Linked DNA regions of Xenopus tropicalis. The protein of the gene in region 1 purifies or fractionates together with the protein of each later gene. This does not show direct contact. Links are inferred from orthologs where the notes say so. Each region holds a gene or a part of one and is shown on either strand. Other genes may lie near its edges.

What was found. The genes of interacting proteins can lie anywhere in the genome.
Region 2: the proteins of ttc1 (region 1) and vapa purify together in Homo sapiens (affinity purification with mass spectrometry; 5 studies listed by BioGRID and IntAct, counting the BioPlex papers as one, with this or other methods). This does not show direct contact. The link is inferred for Xenopus tropicalis from reciprocal best matches to the Homo sapiens genes TTC1 and VAPA.

Annotation. Positions count from the first base shown.
Region 1 is NC_030679.2:16,155,370-16,159,030, reverse strand, and holds part of ttc1 (tetratricopeptide repeat protein 1), read left to right. Parts: intron 1-152; coding exon 153-265; intron 266-786; coding exon 787-823; intron 824-1,854; coding exon 1,855-2,003; intron 2,004-3,661.
Region 2 is NC_030682.2:104,685,058-104,688,718, forward strand, and holds part of vapa (vesicle-associated membrane protein-associated protein A), read left to right. Parts: intron 1-157; coding exon 158-310; intron 311-3,661. UniProt on the Homo sapiens protein: Endoplasmic reticulum (ER)-anchored protein that mediates the formation of contact sites between the ER and endosomes via interaction with FFAT motif-containing proteins such as STARD3 or WDR44.

The DNA.
Region 1 (3,661 bases):
AAAATGATGACTTATTGCAAAGTTGCTAGGAAAGGAATATTCTATAACATTCGTAAAGTTAATTTAAATGCAAACCACCTCTATAAAGACCTGATACCTGCATAAGAATTGAGCTGCATATAGGTAATTATACTCTCTGCTTTGTGTCCCAGAATACCCTGCTGCTGAAACTGTATACACTCAAGCACTTCAGACGTGTCCGGCATTTTATTCCCAGGATCTCGCCATCCTTTTCTCGAACAGGGCTGCTGCTAGAATGAGACAGGTAGATGTATGAGGGCATTTTTTAATTATCGCATACACTAAAAGACCTATACATTAAATAATAGCAATGATTTTACACCATTTGTGTACTCGAAGCTGGTTTATTTTCCCTAGTGGGGAATCTATTTCACACCAGGAACCAATGGCAACAAGTTAGGCCACACTAAACTAAGTGAAATTTATTATCTTCATTTCACCACTGACTGTTTACTAGAACTCATTTCTTTAATGCAGTGGTACATTTCCCTCAGGGATAAATGCCTGGAAAAAAATACTGGGCAAGTATAGACCTTTCCCAGGATCAAATGCTGAAAAAAATCTTTGAAAACTATAGTCATTCTTTAGGGAAAAACTGGAAAGAGCGCTATATAGAATGCTTTGGTGATCCCTTTGGAGCTAAAGATCAAAACCTGGTTTTACTTTGCTTTAGTGTGACAACATATGCATATTATCTAAAATATTTACTGTCTAATGTTTAATATGCCCTTTTTCTAATGACATTGATATGTTTCTCTCTTACAGAACATGAATGATCTTGCATTAGAAGACTGCTCAAAAGGTACAGGTTTCCTTTAGTGTCTGCCAGGTTTTGAAATAAACTCAAAGAATATGTAAACTTTTTGTTTCTGGTTTCCCAGTTGCAAAGCATTTCCTGCAGAAGGAACCTGAAAAAGTGAAAAAAGTGAATCGCTGGTGAGAAGGCATTTTAGGATTAGTCGCCTGCTGCAGCCAGGATTAACCGCAGGCGACTAATCTCCCCATGGGCCATGGTCCTCAATAGTGCCCAGAAAAACATTACCTGCATTAAAGTCATTTCTAAATCGCAAACTGAAAACTTCAGTTAGTTTCTGCTACTACCTAGTCTAGTGTAGATCCCTGCCCCCTTTTCTGAGCTCTTTTTCTCTGTTTGAGTATGAAGATAGTTATAGAGGTGCCTGCTGCACATGCCTGATTGATTTGAATTCCATTGGAGCAGGAGGCAGTAAAGAAAAGGAGGTTTAGCTTCACACTAGACAACAAAGTAGCTGAAATGAGCTGCAGTTTTTAGCTTATGATTTAGAAACAAACGTGATTATGAATTCAGGGAGAAAGTTATGTTATTCCAGGAGCTATTTAGAGTCTCTTTGTGGATTTTAAAATAAAAAGGTAACGTATCCTTTAAGAAAAAGCGTGGCTGACTGTTTCATTATTCCAAAAGAAAATATTAATATGTAAAATTTAACTTCCACACTTTTTTTTTTTCAGTATTGTTTCTTAATTGTATGAAGGTGTCACTAATTATGTGCATAAGGTTGAAAATTAACTACAGGACAATCAAAGTTTACCATCCAAATCAAATTTGGCCTTATCTGGAGCTTTGGCCTAAGGTGGAGCTGAGAATTTAGTCACTGCAAGTCAGAGGCAGACTATCATGGCTCCCCCACCAAATCTGCTGAATGTTGAAGCAATATATGTATATTTCTTTTTGGCACTTGAGACTGAATGAACTCATCTCAAAGAAGGGGGTGGGAGGTGTTCTTTGCCTTTAATAGAAATGAACTAACTGAACTGAGGTAACCTTAGGCCCTGCCTTTTCCTGTATAATTTCAGCAATAGAGCTTAATCCTGACTACATCCGTGCATTGCTGAGAAGAGCAGAGTTGTACGAGAAGACTGATAAATTAGATGAAGCTCTGGCAGACTATAAATCTGTTCTGGAAAAGGATCCATCTGCTAATCCAGCCAGAGAAGCCTGTATGGTAAGTTGGCTGCAGGCTTTGTGCTCAGGTTGCTAGGGTCTTGTTTACCTTAGCAACCAGGCAGTGGCTTGAATAAGAGACTGGAATAAAAATAGGAGAGTGTATAAATGAAGGATATGGATTAAAAAGTAACAATAGTAAAATTGTCTCGGAGCAATAGTGTTTTGGCTGCTGGAGTCAGTGACCCCAGTTTGAAATCTGAAAAGATGTAGAAGTGGAAGGCAAATAAGGCAAAACCTACAAAGTATAATGAAGATCTATTGCAAACTTGCTAGGGAATGGGGCATTCTATAACATAAGGTGAACCGCCCCTTTAAGGTTTCTTGGTATTTTAACCCTTTCACTGCCAGCTGTTTTGGACAAAACAATATATCGTTTTTTCAGGACAACCTAAGCTTTTAAAATATGGTAGAATTTTTGTGTAATTCCAATTTTGTAACAAGATATAGGCTTCTAAATGTCTAAAAAAATGAAAAAAAATATTTTCCATAATATAAACACATATACCAGAAACAAAAATTATTTTATGCATGAAAATACACCTGATTTGGAAAGTCCCATGTCTCCTGAACGTGCCAATACCAAATATATATAGTTTTATGGAGATTTCTCACTTGTATAGGTCAAAAACCTCCAGCAGTACACTACCAGATTTCCAAAGCACTGCTCCAGAAAGCTGCATACTTAAGATTTTAAGGCCAAAAATTCCGCTAACAAAGTTCATCCCAGAACAGATTCTGGGGAATCCAGAATAGGCACAGCTGTCTGTCTACTCCAAACTATCAAGTTGCAATGCTTTCCTAAATTTATTGGTTTTTATCAAAATTTGTGAAATTTTTTAAAAATCGCTTCAAAGCTTCCAGTCTATAGTATCTTATCTCCTAAAGGTCATAAAGTAACCAAATAAAACACCCTAAATATGAACGCCAGGGGTCCACTGAACAGTTTGATACACAATATGTATAGGTTTACCTAAGTATGTGGCATGTAGGGGCCCCAATGTGAACATACCCCCATATGATCTATCATTTCTGTCATTTCAGCTTCTGCAAAATCAACACATTTACATAATTATATGTGGGATAATGCTAGTAAAAAGTACATTCACCCCAGAAAGTCATATATTTTTGGAAAGTACACATTCCCCCGAATCTAAAATGGGTACCCATGTCTTTCTACTCCAAAGTACCAAGCAGCAAAGCTTTCCTAAAGTTGGCAATTTTGATAACATTTCCAAAAATCCACTCAAAGCTTCCAGTTTCCAGCATCTTATCTCCCACATAGCATTAAGTACCAAGATAAAACACCCTAAAAATGAACACCAGGGGTCCACTGAACAGTTTGATGCCCACTGTACATAGGTTTATCAAAGCACATGGCACTTAGAGACCCCCAAATATACCTTGTGCACACTAATTTTATGGCTTACCTTTACCTAATTTATAAACACATGGAAGTTTTATGAGGGGTAGAAGCTGCAGAAATGTAGGGTGACCCCTAAAAACTCTATATTTTTGGAAAGTACACATTCTGAAAAATCTAACATGGGTAAAGAGTCCTTTCTACACCAAAGTACCAATCTGCAAAGCTTTCCTAAAGCTAGTGGTTTTTATGACATTTCAGAAAATTGCATAAAAATATTGTAGTTTGCTGTATTT
Region 2 (3,661 bases), on another chromosome or scaffold:
TTGTCACAAGATCTCCAGAGTGATAACTGTTTGTGACTTATACAGTATTATTTGTATGTTTTTGGGTAATATAAATAAGTGCATGGCTTATAAAGCAATACATTGATAGCACAATTGCTAATTTTGTTGCACTTTTTTTTTTTTTTTTTTTTTGCAGGTCCATTTACAGATGTGGTAACAACAAACCTAAAACTACGGAACCCATCAGATAAAAAAGTATGTTTTAAAGTCAAAACTACAGCACCTCGGCGTTATTGTGTGCGACCAAACAGTGGCACCATAGACCCTGGATCCACAGTCACAGTTTCAGGTTGGTGTACTTGACAATTAAAAATTGACATCTTTGCTTATTCGTATTCCTATATAGGACCCGTTATCCAGAATGTTCGGGACCAGGGGTATTCCAGATTTAGGGGTCTTTCCATAATTTAGATCTCCATACCTTGTCAACTAAGAAACCAATAAAACATTAATTAAACCCAATAGGATTGTTTTGCATCCAATAAGGATTATTTATATCTTAGTTGGGATCAATTACAAGGTACTGTTTTATTTCTACAGAGAAAAAGGAAATCGGTTTTAGAATTCTGAATTATTTTATTAAAATAGAGTCAATGGGAGATGGGCTTTCCGTAATTCTGAGCTTTCTGGATAATGGGTTTCCGGATAAGGGATCCCATACCTGTACTAACAACAAATGATGCAGAGACCACTTTTACGTGTATACAGTGGTGTGAAAAACTATTTGCCCCCTTTCTGATTTCTTATTCTTTTGCATGTTTGTCACACTTAAATGTTTCTGCTCATCAAAAACCGTTAACTATTAGTCAAAGATAACATAATTGAACACAAAATGCAGTTTTTAAATGAAGGTTCACGTTATTAAGGGAGAAAAAAAACTCCAAATCTACATGGCCCTATGTGAAAAAGTAATTGCCCCCTTGTTAAAAAATAACTTAACTGTGGTTTATCAATTTCAATTTTCAATTTCAATATCAATTTCTGTAGTCACCCCCAGGCCTGATTACTGCCACACCTGTTTCAATCAAGAAATCACTTAAATAGGAGCTACCTGACACAGAGAAGTAGCCCAAAAGCACCTCAAAAGCTAGACATCATGCCAAGATCCAAAGAAATTCAGGAACAAATGAGAACAAAAGTAATTGAGATCTATCAGTCTGGTAAAGGTTATAAAGCCATTTCTAAAGCTTTGGGACTCCAGCGAACCACAGTGAGAGCCATTATCCACAAATGGCAAAAACATGGAACAGTGGTAAACCTTCCCAGGAGTGGCCGGCCGACCAAAATTACCCCAAGAGCGCAGAGACAACTCATCCGAGAGGCCACAAAAGACCCCAGGACAACATCTAAAGAACTGCAGGCCTCTCTTGCCTCAATTAAGGTCAGTGTTCACGACTCCACCATAAGAAAGAGACTGGGCAAAAACGGCCTGCATGGCAGATTTCCAAGGCGCAAACCACTTTTAAGCAAAAAGAACATTATGGCTCGTCTCAATTTTGCTAAAAAACATCTCAATGATTGCCAAGACTTTTGGGAAAATACCTTGTGGACCGACGAGACAAAAGTTGAACTTTTTGGAAGGTGCGTGTCCTGTTACATCTGGCGTAAAAGTAACACAGCATTTCAGAAAAAGAACATCATACCAACAGTAAAATATGGTGGTGGTAGTGTGATGGTCTGGGGTTGTTTTGCTGCTTCAGGACCTGGAAGGCTTGCTGTGATAGATGGAACCATGAATTCTACTGTCTACCAAAAAATCCTGAAGGAGAATGTCCGGCCATCTGTTCGTCAACTCAAGCTGAAGCGATCTTGGGTGCTGCAGCAGGACAATGACCCAAAACACACCAGCAAATCCACCTCTGAATGGCTGAAGAAAAACAAAATGAAGACTTTGGAGTGGCCTAGTCAAAGTCCTGACCTGAATCCTATTGAGATGTTGTGGCATGACCTTAAAAAGGCGGTTCATGCTAGAAAACCCTCGAATAAAGCTGACTTACAACAATTCTGCAAAGATGAGTGGGCCAAAATTCCTCCAGAGCGCTGTAAAGGACTCGTTGCAAGTTATCGCAAATGCTTGATTGCAGTTATTGCTGCTAAGGGTGGCCCAACCAGTTATTAGGTTCAGGGGGCAATTACTTTTTCACACAGGGCCATGTAGGTTTGGATTATTTTTCTCCCTAAATAATAAAAACCCTCATTTAAAAACTGCATTTTGTGTTTACTTGTGTTATCTTTGACTAATAGTTAAATGTGTTTGATGATCAGAAACATTTTGTGTGACAAACATGCAAAAGAATAAGAAATCAGGAAGGGGGCAAATAGTTTTTCACACCACTGTATATCATTTTGCACATTTCCATTTTAAGATAGCTTCACCATAATATTAATGCGATGTGGATCGTTATTTTTTTTCTTTGTTTTTGGATTGTTTAGCTTTTTAGTTTACTTTCCTGTTAATGATAATGATGGCCCTATTTAATCCCTAGGAAGAAATGGTCATCAAGCTGGTTTAGGAATTTTGCCACATTGAAAATATTATTCAAACTTGAGAAATTAATTATGCTGTACAATTGTTGGTAGGCAGGTGGATGACCAACAAACAAATCCTGAGACCGCACAAATTAGAAAAAAAACTTAGGCAAAGATGGAGTTTTTTGGCTGCATTTTTAGTATTAAGATTTTGAATTTAGGGGCCAGACGATTGAATTAGAACGGTGGGTATAGGAGCAGTAGGTTTGGTGAATCAACAAGCCAATGCGGTCCCCAATTCGACTGAAAAATCAAACCTGTCCGGTTGAGATCTGGCTGATTTCAAGCTATATGTTGGTCTAGCGAGCCCATCTGTTCCCATACACGGGCGCAAAAGCTGCCATGTCGGTTTAAAGGACCGCTAGAATTGGCCAGTGTATGGCCACCTTAACTTGCAGCGCAGCAGTGACTGAAGTTAGAGCACAGGTCACATGGCTGTAGCACCCTGGGAAATGAAGAATTTGGCTATACCCATGTGAATTTTTCAAAATAAAATTTTAAAAAACCTGTTTGCATTTTTGAAAAATGAATTTCAATGCATGGTTCTGCTGGAGAAGCTCTATTAACTGATGCGTTTTGAAGTAAAACATGTTTTTCCATGACAGTATTGCTTTAAGGGTTCTTTAGACCCACTTGCGTACCAGAATGCAGAAGTTGACAGTCTAACATCCCATCACACCCAGATCACATTTACAAAGATGTGTGTTGATTTATCATTCTTAAAGGAAAAGTAACACTAAAAAAGCTATTCTACCCTGCACCAATAACTGTCCTATCCTGCAAACCACTTAGTATTTTAAATGCTTTAATAGAAAATACCTGGTAAAACTTGGCTTCCTGTCAATTGAAGTACGGCGAAGGAAGGAGCTGCATCCACTATGTGACGATCGATTGATCAAGCCTAGCCTGACTCCTTCCTATACAGAAAGAAGGCTAGGCTCGATCAATCGATCGTCACATAGTTGATTCAGCTGCTTCCTTCGCCGTATCGCCGTACTTCAATTGACAGGAAGCCAAGTTTTACCAGGTATTTTCTATTAAAGCATTTAAAATACTAAGTGGTTTGCAGGGTAGAATAGCTTTTTTACTTAAAAAAATTTAGTGTTACATT